Linked DNA regions of Ovis aries. The protein of the gene in region 3 purifies or fractionates together with the protein of the main gene of each other region. This does not show direct contact. Links are inferred from orthologs where the notes say so. Each region holds a gene or a part of one and is shown on either strand. Other genes may lie near its edges.

Region 1 (3,652 bases), on a different chromosome or scaffold from region 3:
GTAGATGCAGCTAGGCACTGCGACCTGCAGGTAGGTGCTACCAGGGGACACTGAGGCGGTGGAAGGCCTAAGAGGACTAAAACACACACTCGTTGCTTCTCTGCTTTTGGCACTGCTTTAAAGCTTTAATGAATTGAGACTTCTAGCTTTGATATTTGACATTCTTCAGTTGATTTTTTTTCTTAAATTCAGTTGAAATTTTAATCAAAGGTACTAATTTGTGTAAAGACTTTATATATTTGCGTGTAGATTTAACTATTGATAATACTCTTCAATTTTCATAGGTTCGTATTGACCACACTTCTCGGACCCTTAGTTTTGGATCTGATTTGAATTACGCTACTCGAGAAGATGCTCCAATTGGTCCTCATCTGCAAAGCATGCCTTCAGAACAGATAAGAAATCAGCTGACCGCTATGTCCTCAGTACTTGCGAAAGCACTTGAAGTCATTAAGCCAGCTCATATCCTGGTACGCATCTATGGGAGAAATGGATGACGGAATTATGAGGGGCCCTTTAGGTCTTTCAAAAAAAGGTTTGAAATGATGTCTCAGAGAAGGGATTTATTATATATTTTCTCTTAGTTGTGTTTGATACTTTTGATATTTTATTAAATATCTTTGTCAGATAACACAGATCGTTGAGCTGCCTTCTGTGGGTTAGAGTAACAGGTTAAGGTGATCATAGGAGTACTGTGATGAGTGATAAACCACAGGTGATGACCCTCCACATAGCGAGTACTGTGATCATGCCTTTGCCTTCTGTTTAAGTTGTTTGTGAACTCTGTATTTTCTCCTTGGCTTGAACACTTTATAGTATGCATGGTTCAGATAAAAATTGGCCTAGCAGATAAAGGTTCTTCAGCTATGTCATTGCTGTTAAAGACTTTGAATAGTTGTAGCATCATAGTATTTGGTGCTAGAAACCAGCAGTTGAATAATGTCATCTTCTCTTTTCAAATGCAAGTACATGTTAGGATAATACATTAGGAGTATGTAGCAATATTTTTGGTCTCGGATACTGTGGTATGTCACTTAAAGATATTTTTAATGCATTTGTTCTTGAAGCAAGAGAAAGAAGAACAGCATCAGTTGGCTGTTACCGCATACCTTAAAAATTCACGGAAAGAGCACCAGCGTATCTTGGCTCGCCGTCAGACAATTGAGGAAAGAAAAGAGCGGCTTGAGAGTCTGAATATTCAGCGTGAGAAAGAAGAACTGGAGCAGCGGGAAGCTGAACTCCAGAAAGTGCGGAAGGCTGAGGAAGAGAGGCTGAGACAGGAGGCAAAGGAGAGAGAGAAGGAGCGGATCTTACAGGAACATGAACAAATCAAGAAGAAAACTGTTCGTGAGCGTTTGGAGCAAATCAAGAAGACAGAACTGGGTGCCAAAGCATTCAAAGATATTGACATTGAAGTATGTGGCATATTAATGCATTAAAATTCCAGTTTTATTCAGGTCTCTTAGAAGCACAATTCTTTACCATTTATTGGTTTACTTTGGGTTTTTGGTTATTTTGTTCAGTTTGATACAGCTATTAATAGTTCATTAGTCTATGAAATAAGCATTTGTTTGTTGACTCCACAGTTTTTAGTCACTGTTGAAATGGAGTTTGGATACAGTAGAATACAGGAATAAGAAGTAGATGTTATGATTACTTTGTTTTTCCTCACAAATAAGCCTGTTTTAAAACATTTTTGTTGCCTGAATTTACCCATTGTAAGCATATGCCCTTTTGAAGTAAAGTAATTTAGGATCCATTTCTAGGAAGGAGTGGTGCTCCATATTGACTGGTATGCACTTTTATACTCTTTATTTTCAGGACCTTGAAGAATTGGATCCTGATTTCATCATGGCTAAACAGGTTGAACAACTGGAGAAAGAAAAGAAGGAACTTCAGGAACGCCTAAAGAATCAAGAAAAGAAGGTAAATGAAAGAACTGATGAACTTAAACGTGCCAAGTTAAAGGAATTTTTCTAACAACATTTGTTTTCATGATACTCAGATTGACTACTTTGAAAGAGCTAAGCGTTTGGAAGAAATCCCCTTGATAAAGAGTGCTTACGAAGAACAGAGAATTAAAGACATGGATCTGTGGGAACAACAAGAAGAAGAAAGAGTAAGGCTTTAATTTAATTGTAATATTTTTAGACTGTAAGCAAACTATAATAAAGCCAGTAATGGGAAAAGGGTTTCAAATTGATTTTTGTATTATTTTGCCAGAAATTGTATTTTAATGGCTGTATACAAACAGGTTGGTAGACATCTACAAAATAGAGATTAAATAATGAAACTTGTAAAGTACAAAGGATAGATGAACTTTATTTTTTTTTTTTGAAAACTGCTTTATGGAGATATAATTCACGAAATTAAAGTGTGCAATTGATGTTTTTAGTATATGGAATTGAGCAACAATCTGATTTTAGAACATACCCCAGAGGAAACTCCATACCCATTAGCAGTCACTCCATTTTCTCTGCACTCCTTCAGCAGCCACCTAACTCCTTTCCGTCTCTAGACTTGTCTGTGGGTATTTCTTACAGACGGAATCATATAGGCTGTGTGTGTGAGACTAAACAGCTCCTTCAGTAGTTTTATTTGTTTATGTGTACTTAAACAGTACAAAAGCAACATTCGCAAATGCTTATAGTGGCCAGATTTGTAGTAAAAACGAGTGACCTCATTTTGGTTAAAAAAGAAACCATAGGCAGGAGACAACATATATCTGTGGTGGCTGCCTCTTCTTGGTTTCATTGGATTGTTGTCATTCTGGGCCTAGTGTTAACCATCTTTTCCAGTTTTCTTAGAAGTCGCAATTTGTGTGATAATTCTTTTAACATGAAATTAGAGAAAGCTTGAGAGGATTTGCTGCTTTTTTTAGGTTAGTTTATTGAAACAAAATTAAAAAATTTTTTTTTGGCTTGTGCCTCATGGCATTTGGGATTTTAGTTTACTGATCAGGGATCAAACCCATACTCCCTGGAGGGGCCAGAGAAGTCCCTCCAGTTGCTTTTGAAGAAGAAAATACAGTAATGAAGCCGTGAGGGTCTGTTGCTTTGTCACACGCGTTTTAGTTTTTCCTCCATAAGTTTTGTGGTTGTCCTTGTTCGGTCTCTACGTCCTGTCCAGCTCTTTGTGACCCCATGAACTGCAGCCCTCCGGGCTTCTCTGTCCTTGATTATCTCCAGGAGTTTGCTCAGACTCAGTGTCCATTGAGGTAGTGGTGCTATGGTACCGTCAGGTTAAAGCTGTTTCTTACAGATGCCCCAGGTCTTTTTTTATTCATCTTCTGTTCCTCATTGTCATCCTAGGGAGCTGTTGGTGTGGCAGAATGGAGGGGGCAGAGGAGATGCTTATACTTCTTCAAGCATATCTGTCAGAAATTTGGGATAAATTAATCATCAGATAATGAGCACTTTGAAATTTAACTTTGTATCATGTGTTTGCAGATTACTACGATGCAGCTGGAACGGGAAAAGGCTCTAGAACATAAGAACCGGATGTCACGAATGCTTGAGGACAGAGATTTATTTGTAATGCGGCTCAAGGCAGCACGACAGTCTGTTTATGAGGTGAACTTCTTGGTTTCAGGGAAACCTTTATTCATGAGCTTTGCCTTAAGGGTTCTTCAGTGTGGTGGTACATTCTCTGT
Region 2 (3,752 bases), on a different chromosome or scaffold from region 3:
TCTCAAACTTTTGGTCTCAGAATTCCTTCATATTCTTAAGGATATCCAAAGAGCTTTTGCTTATGTCATGCAGTCTCTGGAAAATTCCATGGCACATGCAATAGAAAATGACCATGAAAAAGTCTTGTTGTGAATAGTTTTGACTTCGTGAACCTGAAAGGGTCTCCTGAACGGGTAGAAAGCCAAAAAGGACCCTAGTTTGAAAATCTCTGGCCTGGAATTTAAAGGTGGCACGTCTGGAACTGGAATTCCTGAGTTCCAACCACAACTCCACGACTTACTAGTGGGGCAAAGTGAATTAACGTTTCTGGTCCTCAACATCCCCATTGTTTCCCATAGGCAACCTGCTGCCTAAGACTACTATTTATGTGCAATAAAACACCTAAACAGGGCCAACTATTATTATCAGTGCTGTAACTCCAATAAAAATATACCTGGCCTGGGGCTGACTTGCCTTCAACACATTTGTCAAGAGGACAAATCTAGTTCACGCAAGGAAGAGGCCCGCAGGCCTGGGTAGCGCCCTGGAAGTGATGCCCTCTTTTGCATTAGTTTCTGATGGAGAAGGGTAGTGCAATGAAGGAAGGGCATCCTGGTCAGGCTTGCAAAAAGGCCGCTCCCAGGATACAGGCGCGCGGTCCTCAGCAGAGAATGGGACCGAAAGGTCCTGGAAGCTTCCCCTGAGCACGCGCCAATATGTCCTCCTTGGGGACCACTACCTCTACTTTCCACACAGTCGTTTGTCCTGACTCAACATGGCGTTAGAATCCCACAAGACACCCTGGTCCTTAGTTCCCAACTGGAGGATTTACCCCGCCCACCGGTGGCGGAAATCACCGCCCACGGGCCTATGCCCACCCAGCCCTTCGACGAGTCCGAGCGCGGGGGTCCCTTTTCAAGACCGCAGTAGCCCCCTGGCTGTATGGGGGGCTCTGCTTCCGTTTCCGGGACCAAAATCCGGAAGTGGCACTTGAGGGGCCCTTCCTAGTCCCAGCTGCGGTGGCCGCTAGAGGAGGGCAAACAGCTATGGCGGCGGTCGCAGCGAATCCCGCGGATACGGCTGCGACTGCGGTCGACGACCGAGAGCCACAGCGGGAAGCGGTGCCAGGCCTGGAGAGCCAGTGGCGCCAGATTGAGAATGGGCGAGGGCGTCCGCTGCAGGTCGGCGAAAGCTGGTAAGGCAGAGCTGAAAGCGGAGCCTCGGCTTGAGGAGACTGTGGGGAACGAGGCGGCGGAGGTCCTTGTGAGAGCCGCCCTGGGGAGGAGGAATGGCCTATGGGACTGGGAACGAGAGGGGCGGGGAAAGCCTAGTCTGAGAAAGAGGTGGGGCCTGTGCGGTGCAGCCTGATAGCGCGGCGCGATTTGGCGTGGAGAGGCAGGGGGCGGGTCATGAGAAGGGAAGGCTGCGGCGGCAGGGCCGGGCCAGCGAGGTGGACCTTGGAACTTGGGAAGGAGGGGATCTCAACAACAGAGCTGGGGAGCGTAGTCTGCGGGGCGTTACGAAGCATCTGGGGGCGGACTGTGACTACTGCACAGCGTCTGAGAACGAAGTCAATGCCGGTGACATCTGGCTGAGGAGCGGATTGGGAGCCGGGGGCGGAGCGGGTGGAGGAAGAGGGAGGGAGTCAGACCCTGCGTGGTGGAGAGAGCTGGAGCCTGGGAACGAGGCTTGTGACGAGGCCGAGGGGCGTGTCCTGAGGCGGTGGAGAGACTGCAGAGGGGAGGTGGTGCCCGTGAAGCAGAAAATGGCGCCTGCGAGTGAGCAAAGCTTGTGAAACGGCGAGGTTTTTGCCTCTGACCAAGCTCATTTTCCCAGGACGGGAGAAAGTGCAGGTGATTGGTACGGGAGGGGCCTTCGATGTTGCGTTTGTTTTCTGTTTTAGTAGTGCTTTGTTTTGTAATCAAGAAAAAACAGCTATTTTAAAAATATCAATGCGTATCTTGATAAATCGACTTGTTTAGTTGCTTTCTTTGCTAACCTCTGCTCGAAATGTACTGTTTCTGGGGTCATTTTATTTCTCGCCGAGCTGCATCTCGGTTTTTAAGTTGTGAAATACGTAAGACCTGCAAAGATTATATGAAACGTTTACGTAGGCCAGGTTGATGGACATTTTATAAAAATAGACGATCTGTACTTTTCAAAAATTTCAAGGTCGGGAAGAACTGTCCCAAATTGAAGAAATTAACGGGATTTAACGAATGCATAACTAAATGCAATGTGTGATCCTAGGTTGGATCCCGGAGCAGAAAAAATAAATTATTTAAAAATCTTTTTTTTCACCTCATAAAGTGAACTTTCTCTCTTTTACTGTAAAAGATATGAATGGGGAAATTGATAAAATGTTTACCAAAGTCTGTAGACTAGATGTTAGTACTGCTAATTTCTTGGTTTTGATCATTGTATTGTGATTGTGAAAGATAATATCTTTGTTTTTAGGACATTCATTTAGGGTTAAAGAACCGAAGTATTTAAGGTTAAAGAACCATTGTGTAAGCAAGCTTATTCTGAAGTGGTTGAAAGAATAGCATATATAAAGACGTATTTAAAAAAATAATGACGGAGTAAGTGAGTAAAAATTTAAATTTGGAGAATCTTGAATGAAGGGCACGCAGAAATTCTTTGTATTATTTTTACGACTTTTCTGAGTCTATTTCTAAGTTAATAATTTAAAGAATAATACAAAATTTGTGAATTAACCACCTAGGTTAAGATTCAAACCGTTACCTTAAGAAATTCTGTGCCGCTCCCTAATGAAAATTCCCCTCCCTGCCACAGGAAATTATTACCCTGAATTTTTGATTTCGTTATCAGTTTCCCACCATTGTATGCATCCCTGAATAGTATTTGTGGTCTAAGCTTTCATTTTATGGGAGGCTATGTGTGAAATCAGACTGGCTGCGTATCGAGTACCCTTTGCATCATATCATGTGGGTACTCAGTATCTACATGACGTCACTTGATCACTTGGTGAAGGTATTTGCTGGGTTTCTCCACTGTGCTAGTACTATTTTCCTGTTTCTATACACAGTGATTCTTTATGTTCATCCTTTCCTCAGAACGTTTCAACAGTCTTACTGCTTCATGCAGTGTAAATGCTAAAATTCTTACAGTGACTTGCAGGGCTTTACCGTTTCCAGGCTGGTGTCTGGCTGTGATCGTTTCTCCCATCTCTCTTCAGATTACCCTCCCCCCTCATTTTCTCCATCCGGCTATATTGGACTCTTGGCGTTCCTCCATCGGCGCAAGCAAGCTCTCACCTGAAAGTCTTTAGGATAGGAGTGAGGTTTGCTCCTTTTAGAGTTCTTTAATCACAGTACTAGCGAAATACATATTCCTGTTCCTGGAAAGACAAGTTGAGATTCCCCAAATCGGAAATATGAAACCAAGCAGTTTTACTTTATAGCTCTCCAGCAAGGTAAAGCCTGAGTCCATCTTGAGAGTAAACAACAACAACAGAAATATTGCTATATATATAGCCCATTTGGAGGTGTTCAGAAGGGCTTGCAGGCTTTGGTTCCTGCCCCATCTTACTTACCTTTACAGCCTTGTGACAATAGCTTTTAAAAGTATCCCACCATACCAGGTTTCCTCTTGGTGTGTTGAAAATGTTTTGGAAGTAGATAGAGTTTGTGGTTGCACAACACTGAATGTACTAAATGCCACTAAATCGTTGACTTTTAAATGGTTAATTTTATGTTATATGAATAATAAAATTATGATGTGTCAATAAAAAGTTATCCCATCAATGTTG
Region 3 (3,652 bases):
AACAAAATACATCAGGTCCAGCTCAGTGATGGCTACCTTGGACCCATGCTGACCCCTCAAGAACTATCACTTTTTAAGTTTTATCGCGTTGGCTTTATCTGTGGGGGTATAACCTGTCTCTCTTGCTCAAACCATTTGAAAGTGGCAGACATTTAACACACTTGGGTTCCAAATATAAGTATCACTTGCTTCAAAGTTACCTTTATGCCACTTTACTTTTACAAAAAGACCCATATATGCTGCTGCTACCGGAAAGAAATCCTAAGAGGATTCTGCTTTTACAAAAAAGATGAAAAGTGAAAACAGCTTTCAGTGTTGATTTTGCAGCAAGCTTTTTATCTGTTAGCAAAATGTGTCTTAAAATAATTGTTTCTTTGATTTACACCATTTTGGCTTATAAAGTTTTGTAGGAATGCTCTACTTCTGGACATTGGGGAAACCTGTACTTCACCAAGTGTTGGCTGGGGTTAAGAACATTCTCCTACAGAATCTGTAACTCTGTGCTCTGTTATTGACAACACAATTCTGCCAATCAATCAAAAAACCAGGCCTAGTTTTATTGGATTATTATAACTGGAAAATAATTTACAGCCTATACTTAGTACTAGTGAAAACATTCTTTCTATTCCATCTCCAATAACTCGAAGAGGTAAATCCATTCACCTCACTTTGGTTGGATTTTACTCTATACACTAAGGCAGGGTTTGGCAAATTTTTTTCTTAAAGGTCAGCCAAAATTTGCAGATGCTTGTGAGGGCCCAGGAAGCCTTTTGAAAATCATGAGGGACAGGTCACAACTCTTCCCTGACTAAAGAAACTGTCTCACTCACTGCTACTTGGCAGCTTTGGCCCATGAGCACTAAATGCTAGTAAGTGACAACCAGTAACACTCACACAAATTTCCCAAGAGTCCTAGAGACACAATGCCCCGTTAAGAATCGTGGGCTTCGCGGATGGGAAATCTGTCCCTGCAGATCTCTCACCTCTCCCGAGGCCGTCGCTCTAGTTTTGGCTCATCCAGCTGACGCTGCAGTTTCTCCTGTTCCTTCTGTAGCCGCTCTTCTACTTCTCGTTCTCTAGCAGCTGTGTCAACAGGCTTTGCCCCTCCAAAGATAGAGGCTGCGCGACTGGACTGGGAGGTGCTAGCGGAGGAATCATCTTCCTTAGGAGTACTCCGAGGCTTTAGGTTCAGTTTGGGTCTTTGGGGGGGACCTAAGTTAAAAAAAAAAGAAAAAAAAGTAATAGTTTTTAGAAATCACCAGAAGCTGATGGCTAAAAAACAGATTGCCAGATGTATCTCTTATGAAATGCTATTTAGTATTCAGATTAAACAGTGGCCTAGCCAATCCAACAAAGGAGGCAGATCATTAAACTGATCATTTACCATGATTACTATTATCTGGGGGGATTTTTAATTACGATAAGACATTGGATGAAAGTATCTTGTTAAAATATGTGGTCTGGAAGATGAATCATTTTAGTAGGTAGGTTAAGAAGAACTTGTAACACTATGCTGGGGAAGACTCCAGCTCTTATATTCTTTATCTCTGTGTATAATATATAAATTTGATAGGGATTCACAGGGCAAAGCATGCAACAGTGAACACCACAATGTCAACTTTTCTAAAGGGGTCTAATTTCTTCCTGGATCCAAGTTGTCAGGATTTCAGAATATTTCAAGGAGATTGTATTTCTCAAAAATCACTGTTTATCCTAAACATTTCAAACATACAAAAGCTATAGGTTTTACATTAGTAGTTTCCGTTAACTTTTACGGTAACATTTTTCATCTGTATAACTGTCAAGGGGCCACAACCAATGTGGACAGGATACAACTGGAGTCAGAAACAAGAACTCACTGAAGTCACATGCCTAATATAGGGTGGACCAGAAAATGAAATCCACATTATTGAAGCAACTCCACCACTCGTCCCACTGTGGTACACAGTGTCCCCTTCTTCCTCCTTTGATAACTGCATTACCTACTCAACAAATAATCTGAACACTTATACTTCAGATACCATATCAACGCCAGGAACATGAAGAGGCAGAGCAGTGAAGGCCCTTGTCTATGTCAGAGGTACAAAGGGGTATGTTTTAGGCCATGAAGAGACAAAAGAAGGGTTTTAGAAGAAGAATAACCTAATTAGATATGGTTCCATAGACAATCCAAGCCAATGTGAAAACAGAGGGAAATGTAAGTAACATGGGCACAGCAACGACGTCTGAACAGACAATGGCAGTGACCCTGGAGGAAAGGGGGCAGATCTTAGGAGTCGGGGGTGGTGGAGGTGGAAATCAACTATTGGGGGAGGAAAAGGCATGAAAGGCAAAAGTCAGTAGCCGACGAAGACTGCATCTGAGCCTCTACTTTTCAAAGTGGAGACAATACTTGTATAGTCTACCACACTGAATACTTGATCATTAACTCTAGGTGTGCTGTCTAAATCGAATTACAGAGAAGAATTCTGGACCAGATACCTTACTTAAATTTTAATTTTGGCTGTGTCACATTCGGAATCTCAGTTCCCCAACTGAGGTTGGGGACTGAATCCAAGCCAGGACCATGAAAGCCCAGAATCCCAACCACCAGGCCAACTAGGAAGCTCCCAGATATATTATTTCTAAAAATGACATTGCTGAAGTCAGAACAATAAATGGTGGCCATTTACAATATTTTTTGAGAGGTAGAGTTATAATACAACGCATGTTTTATGAAGTGATCATAACGTTAGGGGCATTAATTTTACAATAGGTACACTGACATCTTACCATTAATGAATGAATAGCAACCATTTGGTATAATGGCATTGAAATAAGCAACACTTGGTTTTTAACCCATTCAGTTCAGTTCAGTCGCTCAGTCATGTCCGACTCTTTGTGACCCCATGAATCACAGCATGCCAGGCCTCCCTGTCCATCACCAACTCCTGGAGTTCACTCAAACTCATGTCCATCGAGTTGGTGATGCCATCCAGCCATCTCATCCTCTGTCGTCCCCTTCTCCTCCTGCCCCTCATCCCTCCCAGCATCAGTCTTTTCCAATGAGTCAACTCTTCGCATGAGGTGGCCAAAGTACTGGAGTTTCAGCTTTAGCATCAGTCCTTCCAATGAACACCCAGGACTGATCTCCTTTAGGATGGACTGGCTGGATCTCCTTGCAGTCCAAGGGACTCTCAAGAGTCTTCTCCAACACCACAGTTCAAGAGCATCAATTCTTCGGCACTCAGCTTTCTTCATAGTCCAACTCTCACATCCATACATGACCACTGGAAAAACCATGGCCTCGACTAGATGGACCTTTGTTGGCAAAGTAATGTCTCTGCTTTTCAATATGCTATCTAGGTTGGTCATAACTTTTCTTCCAAGGAGTGTCTTTTAATTTCATGGCTGCAATCATCATCTGCAGTGATTTTGGAGCCCCCCAAAAATAAAGTCAGTCACTTTTTCCACCATCTTCCCATCTATTTCCCAGGAAGCGATGAGACGAGATGCCATGATCTTAGTTTTCTGAACACTGAGCTTTAAGCCAACTTTTTCACTCTCTTCTTTCACTTTCATCAAGAGGCTTTTTAAGTTCCTCTTCACTTTCTGCAATAAGGGTGGTGTCATCTGCATATCTGAGGTTACTGATATTTCTCCCGGCAATCTT

Evidence for each region.
Region 1: the proteins of EIF4B (region 3) and EIF3A purify together in Homo sapiens (co-immunoprecipitation; 3 studies listed by BioGRID and IntAct, with this or other methods). This does not show direct contact. The link is inferred for Ovis aries from reciprocal best matches to the Homo sapiens genes EIF4B and EIF3A.
Region 2: the proteins of EIF4B (region 3) and USP11 purify together in Homo sapiens (affinity purification with western blotting; 3 studies listed by BioGRID, with this or other methods). This does not show direct contact. The link is inferred for Ovis aries from reciprocal best matches to the Homo sapiens genes EIF4B and USP11.

Annotation. Positions count from the first base shown.
Region 1 is NC_056075.1:38,780,825-38,784,476, reverse strand, and holds part of EIF3A (eukaryotic translation initiation factor 3 subunit A), read left to right. Parts: coding exon 1-30; intron 31-284; coding exon 285-470; intron 471-1,067; coding exon 1,068-1,415; intron 1,416-1,821; coding exon 1,822-1,926; intron 1,927-2,005; coding exon 2,006-2,119; intron 2,120-3,449; coding exon 3,450-3,572; intron 3,573-3,652. UniProt on the Homo sapiens protein: RNA-binding component of the eukaryotic translation initiation factor 3 (eIF-3) complex, which is required for several steps in the initiation of protein synthesis.
Region 2 is NC_056080.1:57,583,988-57,587,739, reverse strand, and holds the start of USP11 (ubiquitin carboxyl-terminal hydrolase 11), read left to right. Parts: upstream 1-1,008; 5' UTR 1,009-1,026; coding exon 1,027-1,175; intron 1,176-1,733; exon of another isoform or gene 1,734-1,833; intron 1,834-3,752.
Region 3 is NC_056056.1:133,403,700-133,407,351, forward strand, and holds part of EIF4B (eukaryotic translation initiation factor 4B), read right to left. Parts: intron 1,213-3,652; coding exon 984-1,212; intron 1-983. UniProt on the Homo sapiens protein: Required for the binding of mRNA to ribosomes. Functions in close association with EIF4-F and EIF4-A. Binds near the 5'-terminal cap of mRNA in presence of EIF-4F and ATP.